Daphnia pulex: one gene and its partners. The protein of the gene in region 2 purifies or fractionates together with the protein of the main gene of each other region. This does not show direct contact. Links are inferred from orthologs where the notes say so. Each region holds a gene or a part of one and is shown on either strand. Other genes may lie near its edges.

Evidence for each region. The genes of interacting proteins can lie anywhere in the genome.
Region 1: the proteins of MMS19 nucleotide excision repair protein homolog (region 2) and Fanconi anemia group J protein homolog purify together in Homo sapiens (affinity purification with western blotting; 3 studies listed by BioGRID and IntAct, with this or other methods). This does not show direct contact. The link is inferred for Daphnia pulex from reciprocal best matches to the Homo sapiens genes MMS19 and BRIP1.
Region 3: the proteins of MMS19 nucleotide excision repair protein homolog (region 2) and cytosolic iron-sulfur assembly component 2B-like purify together in Homo sapiens (affinity purification with western blotting; 11 studies listed by BioGRID and IntAct, counting the BioPlex papers as one, with this or other methods). This does not show direct contact. The link is inferred for Daphnia pulex from reciprocal best matches to the Homo sapiens genes MMS19 and CIAO2B.

What each region holds. Positions count from the first base shown.
Region 1 is NC_060028.1:9,935,085-9,943,397, forward strand, and holds the start of Fanconi anemia group J protein homolog, read left to right. Parts: upstream 1-4,092; 5' UTR 4,093-4,272; intron 4,273-7,674; exon of another isoform or gene 7,675-7,676; coding exon 7,677-7,790; intron 7,791-8,070; coding exon 8,071-8,182; intron 8,183-8,313. UniProt on the Homo sapiens protein: DNA-dependent ATPase and 5'-3' DNA helicase required for the maintenance of chromosomal stability. Acts late in the Fanconi anemia pathway, after FANCD2 ubiquitination.
Region 2 is NC_060026.1:4,196,716-4,205,075, reverse strand, and holds MMS19 nucleotide excision repair protein homolog, read right to left. Parts: upstream 5,370-8,360; 5' UTR 5,327-5,369; coding exon 5,239-5,326; intron 5,057-5,238; coding exon 4,812-5,056; intron 4,756-4,811; coding exon 4,611-4,755; intron 4,541-4,610; coding exon 4,353-4,540; intron 4,285-4,352; coding exon 4,123-4,284; intron 4,057-4,122; coding exon 3,843-4,056; intron 3,783-3,842; coding exon 3,670-3,782; intron 3,592-3,669; coding exon 3,471-3,591; intron 3,408-3,470; coding exon 3,102-3,407; intron 3,046-3,101; coding exon 2,763-3,045; intron 2,701-2,762; coding exon 2,459-2,700; intron 2,392-2,458; coding exon 2,243-2,391; intron 2,171-2,242; coding exon 2,058-2,170; intron 2,000-2,057; coding exon 1,672-1,999; intron 1,606-1,671; coding exon 1,525-1,605; intron 1,462-1,524; coding exon 1,351-1,461; 3' UTR 1,290-1,350; downstream 1-1,289. Other genes in the region: heat shock 70 kDa protein 12A-like, read left to right, coding at 44-111, 171-311, 367-675, 820-1,017; glycerol-3-phosphate acyltransferase 3-like, read left to right, coding at 6,004-6,156, 6,218-6,565, 6,628-6,762, 6,880-6,957, 7,158-7,313, 7,378-7,493, 7,571-7,712, 7,778-7,986 and 1 more. UniProt on the Homo sapiens protein: Key component of the cytosolic iron-sulfur protein assembly (CIA) complex, a multiprotein complex that mediates the incorporation of iron-sulfur cluster into apoproteins specifically involved in DNA metabolism and genomic integrity.
Region 3 is NC_060019.1:10,897,597-10,904,259, forward strand, and holds cytosolic iron-sulfur assembly component 2B-like, read left to right. Parts: upstream 1-3,978; 5' UTR 3,979-4,100; coding exon 4,101-4,224; intron 4,225-4,289; coding exon 4,290-4,369; intron 4,370-4,433; coding exon 4,434-4,706; 3' UTR 4,707-4,742; downstream 4,743-6,663. Other genes in the region: sterol regulatory element-binding protein cleavage-activating protein-like, read right to left, coding at 1-3,494; microsomal triglyceride transfer protein large subunit-like, read right to left, coding at 4,936-5,107, 5,167-5,334, 5,396-5,550, 5,634-5,670, 5,838-5,995, 6,081-6,171, 6,236-6,663.

The DNA.
Region 1 (8,313 bases), on a different chromosome or scaffold from region 2:
CAAGTTGTGCTTGTTTCCAGCAGTTGTATAATGTATTATACCTTCCGATTTGTGTGACTGGCCCCGCTTTTTCTCTTTTTGTTCTCTCCTATATACATATTGTCTGTCCTTTTTCTTTTCTATTCAAACGCGCGTAACCGTATCCCCCTTCCCTTTCTGGTTTTGTCTCTCTTTCTCCCTATTGCCCAATTTCCATTCCGGGGGGAAGTTTTGGCCCGGCGCTTTTGCCAAAAAATGTTTGGTAGGTCCATGTGTGTGTCCGGCACTATATCTGCGATGCATCTGTGTGATGGTATATAGCAAAAAGTAGTAGAACTTTGGGGGGGAGGGTAGGGAGGAAATATATACATAACATATCCGTTCTGTTCCCTTTTTTTTTTGGTCCGTCCTATCCGGTCAGTTTGGACACGGGCCATCTTTGACGGCCACCTCTATGCGACCAGCAAAGAAGGGTCGACACACAAAAACGTATAGACATGGACGAGATACTACATCAGCTGGGCCGCCCTCCCATCTAGACCCGATCTATCCGGATGACACATAAAACTTGTATAAATACACACACACACAGCACAGGGAGAGAGCTGGATGCGAGACTATCACGATGGAATATAAACCTTATAGTCAAGTCGCCCCCTCCGCCTTTGTATCCAACCGAATGGCGTATTAGTTTATGTATCTCTCAATCGCCCTGCTGCAATATGCTCCGGCTATCTCTCTCTCTTTACTCCTCCAAAACGGAGCCGGAGGAAGAAGCCGGATGGCCGGCATCTCCCCTCCACTTATTCCGATACTTAACCTTTTACTGACAACTGCGCCGCCCTCTCCCGAGGAGAGACTCTGCCCCCCCTCACTCATTTGATATACACATGTACACACAGAAAAAAGAGATAAGAGAGATGCTCGCAGTAGTACTACTCTTCTAGCTGCTATATAGAACGATCTAGTCATCTGATCAGGAATAACGAATCGCTGGCTATACCGTCGACTCGGACTGGGTTTTTTTTTTGATATTTTTGTGTTGCCCCCTTTCATTTTGGCTTCACTTATTTAACCGTGTGTCAAGTGCCGAGGCAGATTTTGACATCGATAGAGACTCTTGTCGTCGTCGACGTCGTCTCTTGGGCGCAATTTTATACGCTGTGTACGTAGATGCGGCGCGCCCAAGGATCTTTTTCATGTGTTTGTACTATTTTCGGGCTTCCGCACACGGAATCATATTGGGAAATGTAATTTGAAAGAAGCTTAGGTTTCTTTCCTTTATTTTAAAAACTTACGCAAGTGTGTAGTTTTTAATTTGTGTGAAGAGTTGGCCGCCGCCTTGAGAAAAAAGGAGTGACCAATGGCAGGTCCACGAATGGGCGGGGTTTTTTTATTTTCCATTGGCGCACAGGGAAATGAAGACGAGCCACAGCTGCCGCCATCGCGACATGAAAATCATTTCAGATTTTTATTTATTTTTTTTTTCTAGCGCAAAGCATTCAAAGAGAGTCTGTCTACATGCCAATCAACTGGAGAGAGAGAGAAAAGGAGTTCTCATTAAGAGTTTGCCACGGGGAGTCTAATGACACACGGCCATGGCATAGACGCTAGAAACTGAGGGGGCCTCCTCCTCCTCCTCCCTCTTGGCTCTTGGCTTTTCTTTTTTAACCGTGGGGATTTGATTTAGCGCCGCAGTGTCACTCGAGTTATCCGTCGTTTGAGAAAAGATGGCAATTGCCCGTGATGAATTATAGCCGGAGAATTGCCGCCGCCGCCGCCGCCGCCACCACACTACCTCCACCACCACTAGGTAGGGGCCGTGTGTGTAATATCTTCGTCGCCCACCTGGCGCCAGATGGGCACCACCTCATTCGCCCGGCAGAGAGACTTCCAAGTCTTTTTTTTTTCAATGAAACATTTTCTTTTTCTTTATTTTTTGGGAAAAAGGAAATTGATTATTTATTCCTTTTATGATTTTTTTGTTCTTCTCTTAACCGACCGATGATGATGGACCGCCCGTCGTACGATTTCATCTTGTTTTCTTCAGGTTGGGAGGGAAATACAAAACAAACATAACATGTGAAAAAGAGAAGAAAAAATAAAAAATAAAAAATCCTTTGGCGGAACCCGATCCAAACGCGCTTGGTGTTTCCAGACCATTTCTGATAGCGAAAGATTTTTAATGGCGACTATACATTTTTCTTCCCTCCTTCTTTCTTTTGGGGAATATTTGATTGACTTGCTCGAATCATCTCGCCAAAAGAAAAAGAAAATAAACTTGAATTTTCTTTTTCTATTTTTTCAAATTTAGATTATGTGTATGTTTATACAGAGCCAAAGAAAAGGTCGTCGTGTGTATAAGTGGTTGACGCAGAGTAACAAATGCCTCAAGACCGTAGATGGCTGGCGTGTCCGTAAGACGGTAGCCGGTCGCGCGGTTTCTCTAATAGATGGATTCGCTCCCGAACTTGTCGACTGTACAGAAAAGAACAAAAAAGAGAAGAAGCTGCTGGACAAAAAAAATACAAAAACAAAAAAAGACACTGGGCAAAGAGAGAGAGGCGCCGCCAAAGAAGGCTATCCGAAGGCCAGCAGCCAGAGCAAAAGAGCCAGCACGCCACACACACACACACGCCACTTTTTTGCCCTGACGACGGACTGTGGACCCGAAGGACCCGGTGATGGGATCCTCTCGCGCCCAGGCAGGCCCCCATCTTGTCTTTTTTTTTTGCCCCGGCTATATTTAAATATACATACGAGCGGACGGTTCAGTTTCAGGTGTGTTTCCGTGTAAGTGATGGGTGGATTCTTCGTCTTCGTCTACAACGTCCTTATATAAATGTATCCGCTTTTGATATTCTTCTTCTTCTTCTTCTTTTCAAAGTCTAAAACGAGAAAAGAAGAAGAGGAGACCACGGGGATGTTTGGGGGTCCTGGGCGATAGAGAGAGGGAGAGAAACAGACAGACACATATCAAAGCAGCCTGCTGTTTTGTGGACCGATGCAGCAGGACTCTCCACTCTCTTGTTGTTTTTAAAAAAAGAAAGAAAAAAAAACTTCAGTCGTCCCGACAGGTTTTTTTTTTCTTCTTCTCTTTCCTCTGCTCTTGCCCGCATTAATAAGCTGAGCAGGTACCAAATGCTTCATGAGCCTGTCAATTGGAACCGCGCGCTCTCTCGTCCGTCCTTTTTTTTTTCTTTTTTCCATCTGGACACGCGGAGCAAAAGCAAACACAGCCCCCCACATCTCCTTATTTCTATTCCCTTAAAAAATAAAAATAAAAAATAAAATACTTTGATGCCTGCTCCTCCTTCTCCAGTATGCAAACAAACTCCTTAGTAGAGTCAGAAAAGGAAATTTCGGCGTTAACTTTTTCAGAGGGGAAAAAACCTTGGAATCAAAATCGAAATCTGTGGGATATTTTCATTGGAGCTGATCACGGGCTTGATATGTACGCCAAAAAAAAAAGAGGAATGAAAAATAACAAAATCACAACCTACAAAATATTTTAATATTAAGGATTCTCCATTTTTTCCCTTTCCACAGACGCGCATATGGACGTCAAATTCCCCAATTTCTTTTCTTTTTTTCCCGCTTGCCGAAAATTCTTCGCATACTTCAACTTAATTCACAAGCGTGATACGAAGTGAGCGAGTGCGTCTTTATACTTGTCGCGTCGAAATCGATATGTGGCTAATATTTAAACCAGCGAAACATCTATTTTTCATTTGAACAATGTCTATTTTGGGTTTCAGGCTTTTCGGGGTTCATCTTTTTCTTAATGATCAGATTGGTTTAATTTGTTATTTATCAGCGGGTGCTTTTTGCGTGAAAAGATTGATGAGATGATCTTCCCTGTAATTCCACATTCCCGAGCGATGCTGAATCACGGCCACAGAGACGGAATAGTCGCCTTCGCTGCCACCTAGTGGCGACAGTGAACAACTTTGTCACGCAGCGGTGACGAAAACGAAAAATCTTGATTAACAATTAATGTTGGAATTAAAAATATACACGGTGATGCAGTTGGACAGTCTGGATTTTTTTTGCCACGTAAGAATGAGGATTGAGGACATCACGAACGTGAATAGTCGTCGAAAATTCCATTGATTTACGAACGCGCCCGCTGATAGCAGACGCAAATTGGCAATCCCTTGTCGTTTTCCCGGCATATTTGTTATCACTTGGTGTCCTTACCACGTTGTTGTTTTTTCTCATTTTTCTTCTTTGTGTCCTCACGGTTTTTTCATTAAGCTAATTGAACACAACCCCAACATACCAGTTTAAAAGGTACGACCATTTTTGTTTGTTTTTTCCAAGAATTACATAAATAACCACGTGAAGGGCTAAAATCGTCATTGAGTTGCCAGTTGATTGCCATTTGAAAGTTAATTTACCTAGACAGCATGCACAACCAGCAAAAGACTTTTTCAAGAGCAATGGCAAACAATGACAAAATTGTTGATACCTTTTTTCTAGGGAAAAATGAACTCAAAAGCTTTCAATGTTACAGAATTGCTAGAAGCAAGCAATGTGGTAAAACCTGATTCTTCTTATTAGCCCATCAACCGTAATTTTATAATAAGAATTTGAATCCTGTGTTTTTTTCCTTCAAGGTGTGGCTTGAGTGCTACTCGTCAAGAGTGTCAAATATCTTGATGTGGTTACGCTGAATTGAACAAGTTCAAAACACATCAGGCGCTGCTGCTCTCATTATTATGACAGTGAAAGTCATTTTTAATGTATTTTCCACTTCTTTCATACAGAGTCAGTTGGCATTCAATTTAATTCCTCCCAAGTTGTGACAGGTAGATTAGGTAGGGGATTTGGTTGGGGAAAAGTGTCTGAAACTTGTTTGAAAGATTTGTTGCATGTGAAACAATCCTAGCTTGAAATATTCAACACCACCACTGGTTTCCAAACAGTTTGAACTTTGAGACTTAAACACCTAAATGCCAGATCACTTTTGTAAAGCCGAATAACTGCCTTTGCCTCGCTTTAGTTTTGGTGCTGCTGCCGGTGTATCAAGAGTACAACACAGTTCAACTAGTTGACTAGTTTGCTTTTGATCCGCTCTTCACCCCCCTCTTCTCCGAGTTTGGCCCAAGTGGAAGCAGCTAGAATGCCTTGTTATTATTGCGAGGCTGTAATGAGTTTTCAGGCATCTTATCCTGCACACATGCATCACGCCAGCAAGTCTGTGAGACGGGCGGACCAAGGTCGAAGATACCCTCCTAGCCTCTGGTTCTTGTCACAATCAAATTGGATGTTTGATCGTTTAAACTCTGTCGGCGTGATGTGACTGTTATAAGTTTCCCATGAGGGAAGATTTCAAGACAGGGTTCGACTTGACAACCCCCTCGACTTGTAACATACCCGTGCACATATAGCCTCCAACACTGAAAATTACAGACAAGTTTAGGGAAGTCTCTGCGGGGTGCATTTCGCTTTGGCTCATAGGCCCCGAGCTTTTGGTGTAGTAGTCTCTCACCTGGTGACTGACAGGCGAGAAACGTCAACATTTCAAGGGGGAAAAGCCAACAGCTCCGAGTGTGGAATCTGAATCATAATTTGGACAGTTGTGTGTCTGCCGTGAAATGACCCTCCTCCCAGAAAACGAAAATTAAAAAACGTAGCCACAGGTCAAACACGAAACTGTTGAGGAGAGTTGCTTGATGGTGTGTCTTGATGATTTGTTTATACGCGTTTTCAGGAAACTACAAAACACCTCCCCCGCCCTTCGCCTGCTGGCCTGTTTGTTGTGCCCTTAGTTTGTCCGTTTCCTTCCAATCCCAACTTTGTTGTGTCCGACCATTTTACAATTGAAAACGAAAAAGGAAAAGTAGAAATAAATAGGAGATCTGTGGGCCGACGGAAGCGTCGAACGCGCGACTTTTGTCAGGTTGATGATAGAGGTGGCCCCCCTTTTTCTTTTCTAATTTCAACTGTTTTTCTTCTTCTTCTTCTTGGTATATTTTGTACCTAGTCATTAGTGACCTTGTCTTCTCGTGTCGAGGAAACAGCAACACAATTCCCGTAATAATAAGGCGAGCAAACAAGAGACGTTGCCCGGAGCCCACCAAGAATTGAATTCTTCTTCTTCATTTTTCCCCCATTTTGCACCTGTCATCACCGCACCAAACAAAACTGGGATAACCGCACGCCATTTAACGAGCCTGTCGTTAGTTTTTCTGTTTGCTTTTTTTTTCTTCTTCTTGGTTTTTCCTTTTTACTCATTTGCGGCTGCGTGTGTGTCATTTTGTTGGTCTTTTTCGCGTTGAGAAGATCACGCTATCGCTGAAAAGAAGAAGAAGAAGCCTGGGCCCAATTTTTGTGTGTGTGGCGCAGCCCTGGATTATTAATTGGATGTATTTCAGCATCCCATTTGGTTGGCTCGGTTAGGTCCGTGTCCAGGCAGACAAAAGCTTACCGTTTTTCCAGCGTCCTCTCTTATTATTTCTTTAGATTTTCTTATTTTTTATTTTTTCGTGGAAAACGTTTCGCTCGCACGCCAGGTGCATGGCACGTGGAAGGGAAATCTTTTTTTCTGTCTATTTCGTTCTCTTTTCTATTTAATTCCCTCAAACTGGTTTAACCTACAAATATTCTCTTAATGAATAATGAATCAGGTGGCGGCGGGGGCCTCGTTCCACCCTCCGTCACCTGCGAGTCGGCCATATTATCAGCCGATGGATGTCATCGTCAATCAAAGTGGAGTTTCAGACCATTCGGAAGCCGAAAGATGACAATCGCCCAGCAGAACAAAAAGCGCAGACGGACCTTATTTGGAAGGATTAAAATACTTTTGTTTTTCTTCTTCTCAGAAGATTGCATTTAATTTTGGAATCATTAGAAAGAGAGAAATAGCCGATTGAATGCAAAGAGTCGATACTTTTGTGTATCGATTTCAGCCGGTTGATGATGATGTACTTCAACGGTTGGCGGCTATTCTTCTGTTTATTGATTAATGATGGAAAAGGAAACTTTTCTCTGTCGTCGTGTGTCCGCACTCTGCGGGAGTCACTCAGTCGGATGATGAATGTATCGAATAATTGGGACTTGCCAATGTAATTAGTCAATTCCGCACCACCGCCATCGTCTACTTCCTTTACAAGTGCGGGCGGATAGTTAACATTTCGAATTTCGTTTCTCAGTTGATCCCCTTTTTCATTTTGGTTGCCGAGTGAAAATAGAGAAAGAGCCGCTGAATGTGAGGACTCTCCATCCGTCCAGTCTAATAATAACGAAGGTAGCCAGCTCCTCAATGTATAGCGATGAAAGAAGAGAGCCTTAATGTGAGGCGACCACTCGCTTCAGTCGTTAACAAGAGAAGAGAGAGAGAGAGAAAGAGAGAGAGGAAGATGATGACTCTTTTCTATGGGATGATAATCGTCTCTAGTTTCCTCTTGTTCCCTTGTCAGCATCTCTCTCTCTCTCGCTCTGTGTGTGTTCTTCTTCTACTCTGACGCACGCTGAATAATACCGAACCGGCTCTACTCGTTAAGATAATTGAAGCGACGTCCTCTGAGAGTGGGGGCAATGGAAAATAGCTTTTTATTTGGAACTGACGAACCATTTCGGGTTTTTTTTTCTCTCTCTCAAATAATAATCGAAAGAAATGTTCTATTTTTTATTGTTGTTTATTTATTTTTTTAAATATTTTAAATTTTTGTTTCATTTTGATTCTTTCGCAGATGGCCACTGTCGTTGGTCCGGACGGCCGGCTTCACTATGTCTACACAATCAGCGGTGTCCGTGTCGAGTTTCCGGCCAAGGCTTATCCGTCGCAGATTGCCATGATGGATAAAGTAAGAGACACACATGCTTCTTGTATATTTCTTTTTATGGTAGGGGAGGCTCTGATCTACTTATGCGTAAGCTGCTTGCGATCCTATTGGGATGATGATGAGGCCACCTCACGAACGTGAGCCACACACACTATACCAAATTCGTTATCTTCTTTTAACATCAATACGTAATCAGAGGGAAAGGCAAGCGGCAGACGAAGGGGGGAGAGAAAAAAAAACCCCAAAAAATGTGTGTGGGGTTCATTAAGTAGATATTACTAATAATTTATTTGTTGTCCAGGTGATTCGAGGATTGCAGCGTGGCCAGCATTGTCTACTGGAGAGTCCGACCGGATCCGGCAAAACACTGGCCTTGTTGTGCGCCAGCCTGGCGTGGCAGAGAGCGGAAGCAGGTAGGAGACAAACCAACTGACATTCATTTTCAGTAGTTAGTCAGATGTTGGGGAATTGGTTAGTCGAGTGACTTACGCACAACGTAAATCTAGTCCACTACGTGTACGCGTATTGTGTAGCGCACATGAAT
Region 2 (8,360 bases):
GCTATAGAATGCATAGTGAATTTCTTCCTTTTCCCACGTTCAGGAATGCTTCGTCTCGATCAGGAAGCTATGAAGTCTCTTTTCCAACCCACTCTACGTGCTATCATCGAGGTATATCGATCGTTTCCATTATAAATGATGCCACATCTAATTTTGATTTGACGATTTAGCACATTGAGGATGTTTTAATCCATCCGGACCTGATTGGAATTGATTACCTCTTCTTGGTTGGAGGTTTTGCCGAATCACCTCTTCTGCAACAAGCTGTCCGGACACATTTCGGAGAACACGTCACCGTTATTATCCCCCAGGTTCGAAATATTTTTCAAGTTGAATAGTCGCAAATTTTAAAATTTATTTCCCCAGGATGTGAGTCTTGCCATCCTGAAAGGAGCCGTCCAATACGGAGTGAACCCACACGCCATCACAGTACGCCGTTCGCGCTTGACCTATGGTGTTGCCGTCCTCAACCGTTTCATCCAGGGCCGTCACCCGATTGATAAACGCGTCATCAAAGATGGCATCGCCTACTGCAAGGACATATTCGATAAATTCGTCATGGCCGATCAAAGTGTTAGCATGGGCGAGCGTGTCATACGCAGTTACAGCCCGGCTAGACGCCACCAGCGGCGCATCGTTCTCAACGTCTTCAGCGCCGATAATGACGACGTCCAGGTAATAAATCCTTTTTAAAATTTCCATTTTTCCCAGTTCAGTTTGAAACAACAAAAATCCCTCCTCGATAAAAAACAAAATTCAAACGAAAGTCGGAACCATTCGGATGGTTCTTGGTTACTAACCAAGTAACGACTTATGCAGTTTGTTACGGATCCTGGTGTCCGTTTGTTTGCTACCCTCTCACTCGACCTGGGCTTCACCTACGCGGTCAAAACACGTCGTGAAATCCGCGTCACGATGGAATTCGGCGACACGGAGATACGCGCCTCAGCCGTCGACGTTTTTAGTGGCAACACCATCAAGGCTTCCTTCGACTTTCTCGACGACAAGCCGCAATAGACACGGAGCACTACTGACAGCCACTGCAAACAAGACCTCACAACAACAAACTGTAGCAGTATTCTAATCCTGTTTGATCCTTTCCTAGCCAAAATGTTATAACTTTCCACGGCACTTTTTGACATCTACAACAGCTTCTTTTGCTCGGAATTTTTTTTAAGAGCACGATCCTCAAACATAATTGGAGTTTCTCTTTGATTCGACACTTTTTACAAACCATCATCACGCGGAATTGTTAAGAAGAGAATACATATTATTCTAATGCTTGACAATTCTGTTAGAAAAACAGTGTAATTGAAGCTCTTGAATGAATTATGGCACACTAATGAGATGTTAGTTACAGCCGGGCTGGCCCAACATAATCCACTTTTGTCTTGCCAATGCTGCCTCACGCCGGACCAATCGCTTTTTGTCGGACAGACAAGGGACGAGACGGAGGATGACCTATTAAAATTTATTATACAATACGAAGTTGAAGTTCAAAATTATGGAAAAGCCAAAATTTACCTCTGACCGAAGTGGGAGTAAAACAATCGATTGGGCCTTCCTGAGCTCAGAGAGACATTGAAGGGCAAGTCGACGGACGTCCTGGAGATTATGATAAAAATGTAAGTATAAAATTTACAAGCGTGAAGGAACAAAGGTAGATCTTACCATGTTAATGCCGTCTTTGGCAAGGGTGAGTAATCTGGGCACGAGACTGCTGATGTACTCTTCGATGGCACTGACATTGTCGGACATGAGACCCATGAACGCGTTGATGGTAGAAATAATTAGCTGAGCTGGTTGGTCTGTGCTCAGACACTGGATCAGCAGTGGGATGAGTGTGGTTATGTGGGCAATTAAAACACCCTCCGGAATGAAGGCTAGTTGATTGGCGATGGCGGCGAAGCAAGCTGCTTTGTTGCACGACTCGGACTCTCGATACAGTTTCAACAAGCGAGGTACAACTTCTTGAAAAAACCTCTGTCGGTACATTAACCTAAGAATTTAATCAATAAGGAAATGTTCGTACAACTAAATGGAAAACGTTAAAAAACCTGATGTTGGCATGACAATTGAAATTCAGGCATTCCTCGGTTTCACACAAAATCGTTTTAAATCCTTCTGCCACTAGGTACCCGTGCGTGGGATCGTTCAACGAATCAACTAACTGCAAAGAAAAAGGTAATTCGTTAATACAGGTCATGGCGCATGCTGTTACGTCTGTAATCCAATCGCATACTTCTTGGATATACTGATTAAGCTTGGAATAAGATCTCATCAGCAGAGCTTTAGTTATCCAAACAAACAGGCAAACAGAATTGCATCGGTCTGTAGATGGATCCTGCCATTTGCGCCGCAACGAATCGAGTATAGCTTCCAGTTCATGCCCTTAAACATAGCAGGTAATGGTTAACGTTGATGGTTTTGACTTTATAATAGATCCTATAAATTTTACCTTCAGGAAGTTTGTTGACCAGAGCGGCTATTAGCCGACAGGCAGACAGTCTGACGTCGGCTTTTGGATGACAAACAGTAATGGGTTCTAGTGTGTTAACTAGTCGTTCAAGACTGTGTCCGCTAGGTGTGGCATCCAATGATCCCAATGTCGCTTCCATTATGGACAACGTCCACGGAGAACGAGCAAGATGTTGACCTACGTATTGTTCGGTTTGTTCGTTGATGAATTCCGTGGCTTTCCTGTACAATGCCGAGAAGATTACAAAAACATTTCTTCCAACATTTTGATCTAATAGAATTACGCGGAAGATAAACTGGAAGCCAGATTTCTCAATAAAACACAAGTGGCTTGGAGTGACGCCGGAGGATCTCCATCTTCCAATGTTTTCAATCCCCAGCGGTGCAATTGCTGGAATATTTCTAGTTCGTCCCTTTGTGCGAAATGAGTCAAAACTTTGAGTACTTCAAGTCGTAATTCCAGTTCGGGTTGTTCGAGCACGGTCATTAGTCGGGATACCACCTGCGCACGAATCTGGGACAACGTCGGTAGAGTTGATAACACAAGAAAAACCGCATTGGCTTTGCCTAAACAACCAACAGATAACCTCTTTCCGTATTTTAATTGGTAAAATTCAAATTACCTGAGACGGCTATATCTAACAGCTTAACCAAGACTTGCTCAAGGAACAAGTTTTCATTCTTCTCTGCGCTTTTGCAAAAGAAATGACCAATCTCTGCAATAACGCTATCGGTGGCTGTTGATTTCTGGAGTAAATCTAAAAGTGTTCCATTGACCTTTTCCAAGTCTTGGTGGTTCAAACAGGTGCCAATTAAATGGCTCAATCCTTGCAGACTTAGATTGCGAAGAACTGCGTCATCCTCTTGTAAGACCTCAAGGTACAGCTCTAACAATTTTGGTATCAGAGAAGCTACACCACTTTGAGCAACTGTAAAATATAACCAAAGATATGAAAATGTTTCTAATTTTAATAATTTTTAAAATGTGGTACCGTTTGCTTCAGTGAAACCATAGAGACCAGCATGTACCATTTTGTTCAAACTATTAAGGATGAACTGACGTGGATTTGACTGTGGCCTGATCCTGTACTGGTCCATCAAAAGGGGAATGACCTATTTAGAGAAATGGGTTTCTGTTAAGTAGATTTTAAAAAAAATGTTTGTAGTTCTATAAGAGAATAAGAATAATACCTGGCTAACAATTAATGCACACGCGGGCGCACTTCCCGAGCATATCGCTAGCAAAATGTAGCTGCTCGGAGTCATTAATCGCCGTTCCGGTTCACACAAGTGCCCCTGACATTCTATTAATATACAATCTACAGTTAAATATACTCTTAAACGAATATTTGCTACACATTTACCGGTCAGCACATTTTTTAGTAATTTGGTAAAAGCTGGACTGTTAAATTCTCCGTCTGTTGTAAAAGCTCGGGATAAAGCGGCAAGAGCATCAAGTGAGGCATGTTCAAGATCGTCGGTATTGACATTGATCAAGACTTCTCTACGTATACTCGTCCAGAAAGAGTCCACCCATTTTTCAAGTTGGCCTGGTTGATACGTCTGACAGCAGAGTTCCTGCAAACAGTCGAAAATTACAATAGAATTGAAGCATAAAGACTAAATATAGAAGGGGAAAATTACCAAGGTTTTTAAGGCTTCTACTTTAGCTGAAACCAAGTCAGATTCCAATTTCTCTTGCAGTAACGGCAAACAATACTCTGCGAAATGAGGGCTACCGGCAAGGCACTGTCGTAATCCATCACAGAGCTGTTCTTTAGTTACTGCATAAGGATCATTAGCTGGCTATTCAAAATAAGAGTATTAGGATTTACTGACATGTAGCAATAAACTGAAAATTTCAAGAGACTTACAGGGGTGAAATCGATAGGGAAGTAGCAACTAAAAACTTCGAAAAACTCTTCTGTAAACGGCTCGAATCTGAAGTAACGAGCAACTACAGGGAAAACACTGAAGAGAATCAACAAGTTACGTGGGTCTCTTTCTTGATCAGCTAACTGGATGAGACCAAAAACAAAATCTTGGCCTAGGTCTTGTAATTCTGTAAGTTTAAAAATAAAATTTAGAAAATACTAACACAGCATATATATTTAGAAATTTATAATTTAGACCTTTTAGATGAAAAGCCAAGAGGTTTTTCACTGTTTTGTAAATTGCTCTTCTGTCATGCTGCAATTGTGATTGACAATGAACATCTTGAAAAATGCTCTGGGATATCAATCTGGCCAATCCAGGGGAAAGCTTAGGTGCTGTGCTCTATGACAAGGTATTAAATTTAACACTTTTGTATTGAATAGTATTTTTTTTCATACCAAAGCATGGAGGCCTTGCAGTGCGGCAGGTAGTATTGAATGATGATCTTTTAGCTTGCTACAGAAGAACTCTGTTACAAGTTCTACTTCCTTTTCATTTAGTCCCTTCAATTCAGGCCCCAACTGTTCCAAGATTGTGCCAATAGTTGACACTGCTTTGCATCGGTGAGTATTTTGTTGATTCAGTAAATCTGGTTGCAAATCTTCAACTAGCTTGAGAATTGTTAATTCTTTTGATGCAATTGCTGAAAAATTAAACAAAGTCATTGATGTTAACTTGTTAAAATTATTAAACATTTTCTACACATATGTTTTAAATCTGGCGCGCTCATGATGGACACGTGTTTTTCCTTCTTTTTTTCTAATTTCGAACACTTGAGCGGAGTACGAAAAAATGTTTCTTTCAGTTATAATTATAAAAACTTACATTGACTAATACAGCGAATAGATTCATTCGCGGATTCTTCTGAATTAAACGAATCTCTGAGTTTGTGAATCGCAGTCGAGATCGCCATGTTTACTGTTTACCTCTGCCCTGATTATGTAAACGTCATCTGCTTTTAAATGACACATGGTTGCCTACCTCTCACATTCTTCTTTTCATGAACTGATTATTCATCGAATATATAATTTTGTCACAGATTATGTAATTGTAAACAAGCAACAGACTTTTGTAACAAATTTCGTAATTAAATATTGAATAACCGCATTCCAACATGTTTTGAAATAGCTTCCGTGAACGGAGGAAAATATCACCCAGGTTTTGTATTTTCTAGATTTTTCATTACGCATTGGAAAAAAAACAGATGGGTGGAGACTTCCAAAGTAAACTTTTATGTGATTCCGATAAATCGTGCTGGTAAGCATGGGAGGACTAGAAAAAGATAATTAATCGCGTCAAGGTCGCACGCGCAACGCATAGAACCAATAGACAGACGTATTTTTGAAGTCAGTTGTAGCCTGAACGTCCCATTATAAACGAGAGTCCCAAAACGTCTGTCGTAGCAGTCTTTTAGTAGACTACGTTACGCGAATTCCACTCACGCACAACAACTCAAATCGGCATTTCTCTTGTCAACCTTGAAATCTCTCTCTTCCACCACTTCCTTTAACGTGGTCCCGACATCTGTTGCCTTGGTGTTCGACAACGACAGCAACTTCTTGAACTGGAGCTCCCACCAACAATATTACAATGGGGCTCGAAAATTTAATTCTTTTGCTAGTACTTAGTATAATTTTTATGCCTGTTATCCTGGTAATTGGTTGCTTGGTGCTAGTGATGACATGCAACTGGTCAAGGAATTTCCGATCAGGATATGTTAAACTACTATTGAAGGTCTTTCAGGTAATATGTCTTATTCTTAGTATTTGAGTTTTCGTAATGCTCATAATCTTTTTTATACTAGTATGGAACTGGTAGGATAGAAATTGCTGAGCAGCAAAAGAAACTAGAGACCAATAAAGGAAAGAATGGCTATGCAAATGGAAATGTTGTGGAAGCAGTGGAACAAGCTGAGGACAAATTATCAACTGGACATGCCATTATAAAATCTTCAGCAATGTCCAAGGAAGATCTAGTACTTTTACCTAATGGAAACTCATCTCCAAAGACACCCTCCATCCCCAAAAACAGATCATTTAACAGTTTGAATAATGATTTTATTCTATCTGACTGCCTTGACTTTGTTCATGCGGGGGTGGAAGCAATCATTGAGGACGAAGTTACAGGAAGATTTGTAGCTGAAGAACTAAAGGTACTCAAATCTCACCTACCAATTTGGTTCACAGTATCTAACATTAAATTTGTACTTCCCAGTCTTGGAATCTTCTTACTCGCACAAACCGCCACTATGAGTTCATCAGTGTTCGCCTTACTATTACTTGGATTTTGGGTTTCTTTGTACGCTACTTCATTCTTCTACCAAGCAGAGTTACAATTTGCTTTTTAGCTGTAAGTATACTTCAAAATGTGTTCTTTGTCAATTATTTTGTTAGTATTATTTTAACTATATTATTGCAATTGTAATGAAATTATTCATTTGTCTTTGATTGATGTGATTTTCTATAGGTTATTTGGTTAACTTTGTGCACAGGACTGGTTGGCTTCCTAAATGAAGGTCCCATGAAAAGAGCCATTTATGAGAAGGTATAAACTCCAAATTCTCTTTTTACCCCGTTCAGTTATCGAATTTGACCTCGTGTAGATAACTGTAGAACTCCCGATGGTTCGAATAGGACAAAGTTCGAATCAACATTTGCTCCGTTTATTCATATCTTTTCTTTAAGAGTTTGCATTACAATACTTTCTTGTTTTAATATCTTATTGGTTTTGTTTTGGTTTTGAAGGTTTCAACATGGTGCTTCAATTTTCTATCATGCGCGTTATCAGCCGTCGTCACTTTTCACAATAGAGAGAATATACCTAAGTGTGGTATTTGTGTGGCGAACCACACGACTCCGGTGGACGTAATGGTTCTCCACTGCGACAATGCGTATGCGCTGGTATGTTGGATTTAAAATTTTTAAAAATCTATATATTTATTTACTTTTCATTATTTTTTTAAAGATTGGCCAGCGTCACGGTGGATTTTTGGGCATTATTCAGCGAGCTTTGGCTCGCGCTTCTGCTCACATTTGGTTTGAACGCTCCGAAGTCAAAGATCGTGAAACTGTTGCTAAAAGGTAATATCGATTGCCGCATACCGGATTTATAGATCGAGTTCCTATTCGAAAATCCTGACTTTTGATTATATTTTCAGACTAAAAGAGCACGTTGACGATCCTGATAAGTTGCCTATTCTTATTTTTCCCGAGGGAACCTGCATCAACAACACTTCTGTGATGCAGTTCAAAAAGGGCAGTTTTGAAGTTGGCAGTATTGTTTATCCTGTCGCAATTAAAGTAATTTGCTTCGTTACGAGATTGCCATTGAGATTGCCATTATAATAATTTTATTTGTGATTTAGTACGACGCAAGGTTTACCGACGCATTTTGGAATTCTAGTCGCCACTCGATGATTCAATATCTCTACATGATGATGTCCTCTTGGGCTTTGGTCTGCGACGTTTGGTACCTACCACCCATGCACCGTCGACCAGAAGAAAGTGCAATTGATTTCGCCAATCGAGTCAAAGCAGTGATTGCAAAACAGGGCGGCCTAGTAGATCTAGCTTGGTAAGTTGGTCTTCGTAGACTTCACCTCGAAAAAATCGCCGATTTTAACGCTTTTTGAATTCCAATTTGATAGGGATGGAGCACTAAAACGTATGAACGCCAAGAAAGAATGGAAACAGAAACAACAGGAAGAATTCAGCAAACGATTGAAAGTTGAGTGATTCTCGTCTGTCGGCCTGGTGAACGTTGAGAGGAAAGAAATTTGTTTTACGTTTTGTTTATTTTTTTTTAATAACAATTTTGTGTTGCGATGGAAATTTGATGCATCAAGTACCGAATGTTAGTGGTGTAGCGCCATTGGTTTTTTTTTTAGGTCGTAGCCGGGCCACTCTTCCAAAAAAAAAGTGATGCGTTAAAATGGAGATAACGCATTC
Region 3 (6,663 bases), on a different chromosome or scaffold from region 2:
CCGCTTCCCGATGCGCTGCAGGGGTAAGCTTCGTCGATAAACATGGCCGTGATGGGTCCGCGATGCCCGTGAAGACAGTAGAGGGCTGTCAAGGTTTCCAGTCGCCAGACTTTGAGGCAATGATCCAGCGAACCCGTAACGACGCGGCTGCCACTAGCCGAAGCGTCCAACACTGAGATGGGCTGTTGGTGAGCTCTAGCCCAGTTGAGCCGGACCAAACGGAAAGCTAATGGAGATGATCGGTCCTCTTCGTCGTACTCGTCGGCGCCACGACGAGAATGAACGTGGTGGCTGACATCTTCCACAGGACTGTCGAAATCGGCGTGAAACTGGAACGACTCCAGGACTCCATTCAATCGGGCAGCTAGAAGATACTCGCCACAAACTTTGAGTTTGGCCACTCCGACACCACTGCCGTCGTCGTAAAGACAACGCAAACCGGAATTATGGCTCCAAATTTCAATGCGTCCGTTGGCACAGCCCAGTGCCACTTGGCCATCGAAGCATTGCATGCACCAGACGGGCGATGGAAAGTAAGACGTTTTATTATTTCTCGTTGGACTAGTTCTGTCTTTCCAAGACAGGTTGTTAGGGCTGGCCGGAGGAGAATGAAACGAGCCCGGGGATCTAAATACAATCGGATTAGAAACGGCGTGACTCAACAGTCCGCCCAGTTCGTTAGTGGATGAGTAAGTATCGTGGCGTGGAAAATTGGGAGAGGCCGGCGACGTTTGTTGCTGAAAAGCGGCGAAATAAGTGTTTCTATCAATTTGAGCTACGGCATCTCCCGTCTGGATGTCCCAAATGTGGAGCTGGCCGGCCAAGCAGACACTCGACACGACATCTCCATCGGTGGATATGCATTCGATGGGCGAACGATGACCGTCGAGAACGAGAGGCATAGATTCTGCTACTATCTGTGAATAGTATTCGCGAGACTCTTGCGTCAACCCACCACCAGCATTGCCGGCCCAGCCCCAGAAAGTCGAAGAACTCCTCCATTCGGCGTAGTGCCGAGAGCAGATGCAACGATATAACACGACAGTCACGTAGGCGATAAACACCACGCTCGGTATGGCTAATAAAGTGGTTAAAATAATTTGAATGGGCGACGAAGGAACGTAGGGAGTCTTGTTGTCTTCATCGGAGCCACCGTTTCCGCCTGATCCGCCGCCAATACTTCCGTCACCATGGCTTCCGGACAGGCCGAAATCACTATCGTCACCGTCAAGAACATCAAGCGTATCGAGAGCTGATGCCAGAGATTTCCATCGCGATCGCGTCAGGTACTCGCCATCGCGACTGTTGCGCACTTCTGACACTCGTTCTGGGTTGACTGGGATAGAGATTCGAATCGGAGGCAACATGGCTATGCACTTTCCGGCCAACGAGATATTGTAAATGTCCAGCAGGTCGGGCCAGTGGCGATAAGAGAGCCTCCTCCAGAGCTCGACGTTTTTGGGATGTTGTAACCGATTCTGCCAATCGATTACTTCTTTGCCGCTGGATGACGTAACTGATAGTTCTGGTGCGGCCGAATTGGCTAGAATCGTGGATTCTTTCAAAAGATCTGGTTCTTCCGGTTCAATACAGTTGGATCCGGCAGAACACGAAACTTTGAGATTAGGATGTGGTGCTGGAAATTCAACCTGTGAAGAATCATTGGCTTCGACAGACCATCCGGCCGATTGATCAGCCAAATTTTCCATCACTACGTATTTGTAAAAGAAAATGCTCATCCATATGACCACACCCACCATAAAGGTACGCTGAAACAAACGCGTGCGAGCCCAAAAGTGAACGATCCTTATCCGACGTGGTACTCTGGCCGCAGCTGATCGATTGTGCGTGTAGGAGGATGGTGCTACGACGGCCGTTGGGGTATTTTTGGCTGAAACAGCTGCTGAGTGGACTCGGGTGCGCAAGTGGGGATGGACAGCATTCCCCGTAAATGCCCTTTCTGCTGAACTGAGAGTATGGACGGTGTGGTTGGTCGACAGGTACTGCTGACCAGGTTGAAGCTGCCGTCGTTGGCGCTGAATTTCCGACAACTCTTTGCGCAATATGTCGATGGACAGGACGGTGGAGAAGAACAGCATTTGCAGAACGAAATCGGAGAGAAGGGCGACGACGGCGAAGAGGCAAAATTCTTGAATGGCCGGCACGAAGGTGAAGAAGCCCACCGTCAAAATAGTCACTTCTGTTAACAAATTTTTGGTTATGTTCCATCCTTCACGACTAAGTCCCTGTGCTACACGGATCTTGACGTCCAAATTGGCTGGAGTAGAGACGACAGAGCGAGTCAAAACTAAGATGTTCTCCAGACCAACGATCACCACTAAATAAGGGAAAATGTCTCGTCCCTGAAGAGTGAAGCGCAATCCGAACCACGTGCACAGGCCGACCGACATGCCCAGCGATGCTACCACTGTCACTACGGCGCTGAAAGCCATGCCAAACTTGGATTTAACCATTTCGATCTTGCGAACAGAGAAGTAAATGTACAGGAACAGGATTAAGTAGACAAAAGTCAGCGGGATGAGCTCCAAATAATTGAAACGTTCGGGATAGTAAATGTGAACGATGGTGCGTCGAGATGATGTGGATTCTTGAGTGGTGGAGTGGAGAGGAAATTGATTGCGGAGCTTTAACCGCAAGTCATAAAGAAACGGTTCAGAATGAGTTTTAAGTAAGATTGTGATAGCGTACGTAAGGACGCGAGAACGAGTCTTGACTGGGAATTTTTTCAATCCACTATTTTTGAGCGGGACGCCGTAAAGTATGTCGGCCATACTTGATCGCACTTCTACCACTGGGTTCTTGAAAGAAAATATGGTGTCTAAGAACTGAGCGTCGTTGCGGAAGGTATTTTCGTCCAGCTTCCACAAATTGGCCGGCGACAAAATGATGCAGCTGAATTCGGGTAGAAGATGTTGAAACGAACGAGCTCTAGGGGCCACACTCTCCACGTAAAGGCAAACATCTCTAAGAGTCAGGTTACTCCTAGGTGAATGGAAACCCACTACATCAGAATGCAGCTTGAAGACTTCACTCAATGGGCCTCGAAAAGCATCCATCATGCCCAAATCAGACGTCCATGGATTGACAGAGGACCGTACAACTATTTGTTGTATGAAAAAAGATGGTTGCTGAGTTCCCCATCTGGTTGGATACTGAAAGCTTTTTCCAAATTCAAGATCAGAAGAGATTCTTTTCTCTGGAAGCGGGAAAGATATCTCCTCTGGTTCATTGCCTGGAAAAGGCAAGGACAATAAAGGATGACACGAAGTGAGAACAATAATAATTGCCACTATGATTGTGCACCAGGGGTAGCTAGAACACAGAAGGCCATGTTTGTAGTAGAGGAGTGCTACCCTGTCGGGTATACTCAGGCCTTTGGTGCTTGAATTCAGTCCACTTCCATTAGCAAGTCCAGCCGAATCAACATCTTTGACGGCGGGATGATGACCAATTTGTGGCTCAACAAAAGGCATGTTTGAGTAAGTCCAAAAATATTAAAACAAACTGTAGACGACGAATAGTGAATAAATTTCACGACATTTCGCCACACTTTCCAGTATTGGCAATATTGGGAATGACCTCCGAGAGCAAACGTTTCTCCTAAACAAGAAAATCAATATAATAAGAGATTTTTTAATTTAAAACCGGCTGCAGATTCAATTTTAATCTCTATTTACCTGTCGAAAATGCCCAAAAAAGAAAAACATGTCAACTAAAGATCAATGCCTTGACACAACTGGAGCGTCTAGTGCAGAAAATTGTAACGTGGTGGTGGAATTAAACAAGAAAAGAAATAATACAGTACCTACCAGAGTTGTCCTAAAATTTGTTTACAAAAATAGTTAAATTAGTAAAATTCGTTTGCCAATATGTTTTATGGTTATTAAGTTATTTAGTTTTAAATATTGCCGATTCCGCAATAGTTCACTCAGCCGCCGCCGCGCACACAACTAAACATTTATCGGTATCGCTAGATGCCGTTACTAGTTCTGTTTACTTGTAGTTATTCGCATGTTATTCGTTTCGCGATTGCGTTCGTTATTAGTCGGATAAACTTGTCAAAGTGTTGAATTGTAAGAATGACTTCCAAAGGGATCGAAAATGTGAATCCACAGTTATTTACGAAGAAGACAAAAAGAGAAATAACAAGTGAAGAAGAAGATGAATCAGTAGAGGATCCCATAGATGAGAGGGAAATATTCGGTAAAGACTTTCGCACTTGCGTAATACATCATTAAACAAATTCGCTTATCTCTCCATAATTATAGATTTGCTAAGGGATATCAATGATCCTGAGCATCCTATGTCACTTGAAGAACTGAATGTTGTACAAATCACGAATATAGAAGTAAAATATGAAATGTCTGATTTCACACAAAATCATTACCTCTATTTCCTTTATGTATGTACAGGTTGATGACAAAAAAAGCAGTGTTAAAGTCTTTTACACTCCAACAATCCCTCATTGCAGCATGGCAACTTTAATAGGACTGTCCATCAAAGTGTGTCTTCTCAGGTCTCTACCACCTAGGTTCAAAGTTGAAGTAAACATTTCCCCAGGTTCACATGCTTCAGAGGAAGCTGTTAATAAACAGCTAGCTGACAAAGAAAGAGTCTCAGCCGCTTTGGAAAACAGCAATCTACTTGAAGTTGTTAATCAATGCTTAGTAAAAAGTTTGGAATAATAACCATTTGATCAATACATTATGGATGAAAATGCAGTTTATTTTGATGGAACACATTCAAATCTATTCAGTGACAATTACTTTACATTGTCCCTGTTCATTTACATTCAATTAGAACCATGAAAGTTGTAAACTACTTTAAACCACTTTGCTTCATTTGAGCATCTTTGGACCCCAATTATGTCATTTAAAATATTTACCTAAAAACAAAAAGAAAAACACATTGCTTTTAAAAATAAGATGATCCAGTACTCTCAACTGCAGGGAACATTTCATTGCAGAAGCCAGAATTCTGGTCATTCAGTTTGAACGTGCGACCTGGGACGAAATCTTGGCGTTTCTTCTTTTTGTGAATCCAGTGCTTAGTTCCCGGAATGCTTTCGCGCTTCTGCACAGTGTAACTAAACAACACAGGGATGTTAAGTTAGTTCGACGCTGAAAAAATAATTGTGACACTCACTCTATGTTGAATTCAGCTTGGCCCATACGCAAGCATAAAAGAATTCCGTTAGCAAAGCTAACATCATTGACGAAATCGACCCGAGATTCAGCACCCACAGTGAAATCAACAGATGATTTAACAAACGGCGTGTTTAAATTTAATGACCCCTCTAGCTCCCATGCAGCGCTGAAATGAAAATATGAGTTTTATCATTATGATCAGAAATCCAGTCTGTAAATTGACTTACATATCTTCGACAACTGAATGAGAATTTCTGTTCCAAATACTGATTTGGATTTCGCCACCAAAATCAAAAGAGACAGAACCACGCACGTCGAGTGTAGTAACAAAACCACTTTGGAGTGGTACGACATTACGATAATCCTGAAGCAGCACAGTAGCCTGTTTATGAATGTCAATAGAAATGTCAATACCGAATTTAGTTTCTGTATACTTAAAACTCTGAAAAACAAAATGTAATCTACCTGTAGGGCTGTGGTTCTTTCAGATGCTGTGCCAGACCTGGACATTGGCAATGACAAATGGTATTAGTTCTATGTTACTAGAATTTTACTAATTTGGACCAGGTTAAACTCTTCTTTTCAAGGTCCAATAAGCATTCCATTTGCATTTTTAGTTTTGTTTACCTGCCAAAACAGCATGGAATATAGTAAAATATATACACTTACCAGACATGGCCCATTAGCTCGCTTTGACCCGAGAAGAAAATAACAGGTCTTAGCTGGACACCAGCAAGTGTGACTTCCATGCCTGCTGTAGGTTCTTCTTCGTCACCTTCAGTAGAAAAACCCATCAAAGAACCCATTCCACCGGTAAAAAGTCCGACCTATTTGTTACCATACCATTATAAGTTGATGTTTGAAATATTTTAGTTTCTTATATATTGTGGATAACAATTCACAAAATTATACCGAGAGTAGCTGAAAAGTGTCTTCGGGGTTTCGCAAATAAACATCAAAAGCGGCGCGTTTCATCATTTTGTTTGCCGCTTCAGTGGAAGAACTAGAATAATAAAAGGTTATCTATGAATGCGTACTTTGGTTAAATATCAAAATTTGCACCTAACCTAAAGCTTCCATTGCCATCAACGTTGCGATACAGATCGCGAGAGAAGGTCGTTGACATTCCATTCTGGGCGAATACGTGATAATTGTTAAGAGAAGGTCGGTCTGATAAGATTTGCTTCAACTGAGAACGGACAACTGGGTCATTTCCGGCATATTCTTGCAATCGCTGCAGTGAGTAGGTGTTTAGCTCCAAATTTTCGCTGCCTCCCATCGAAAGAGAAATCAAGACGTTGATAAGAAAAGTGCTGTCAGGCTGGTGATCGAGCAACATATCCAATGCCAATGTGCGAGCGCTCGAGTCGTAAGGACGATCAACTTGAAAGTAAATAATCTCCAATTTTTGTTTAACACGATCGTCGAGGAAGACGGAAGCGGGAAGAGCTTTTAAAGCTTTAACTGCCCATACTGATGTCTTCTTATCCTGGCT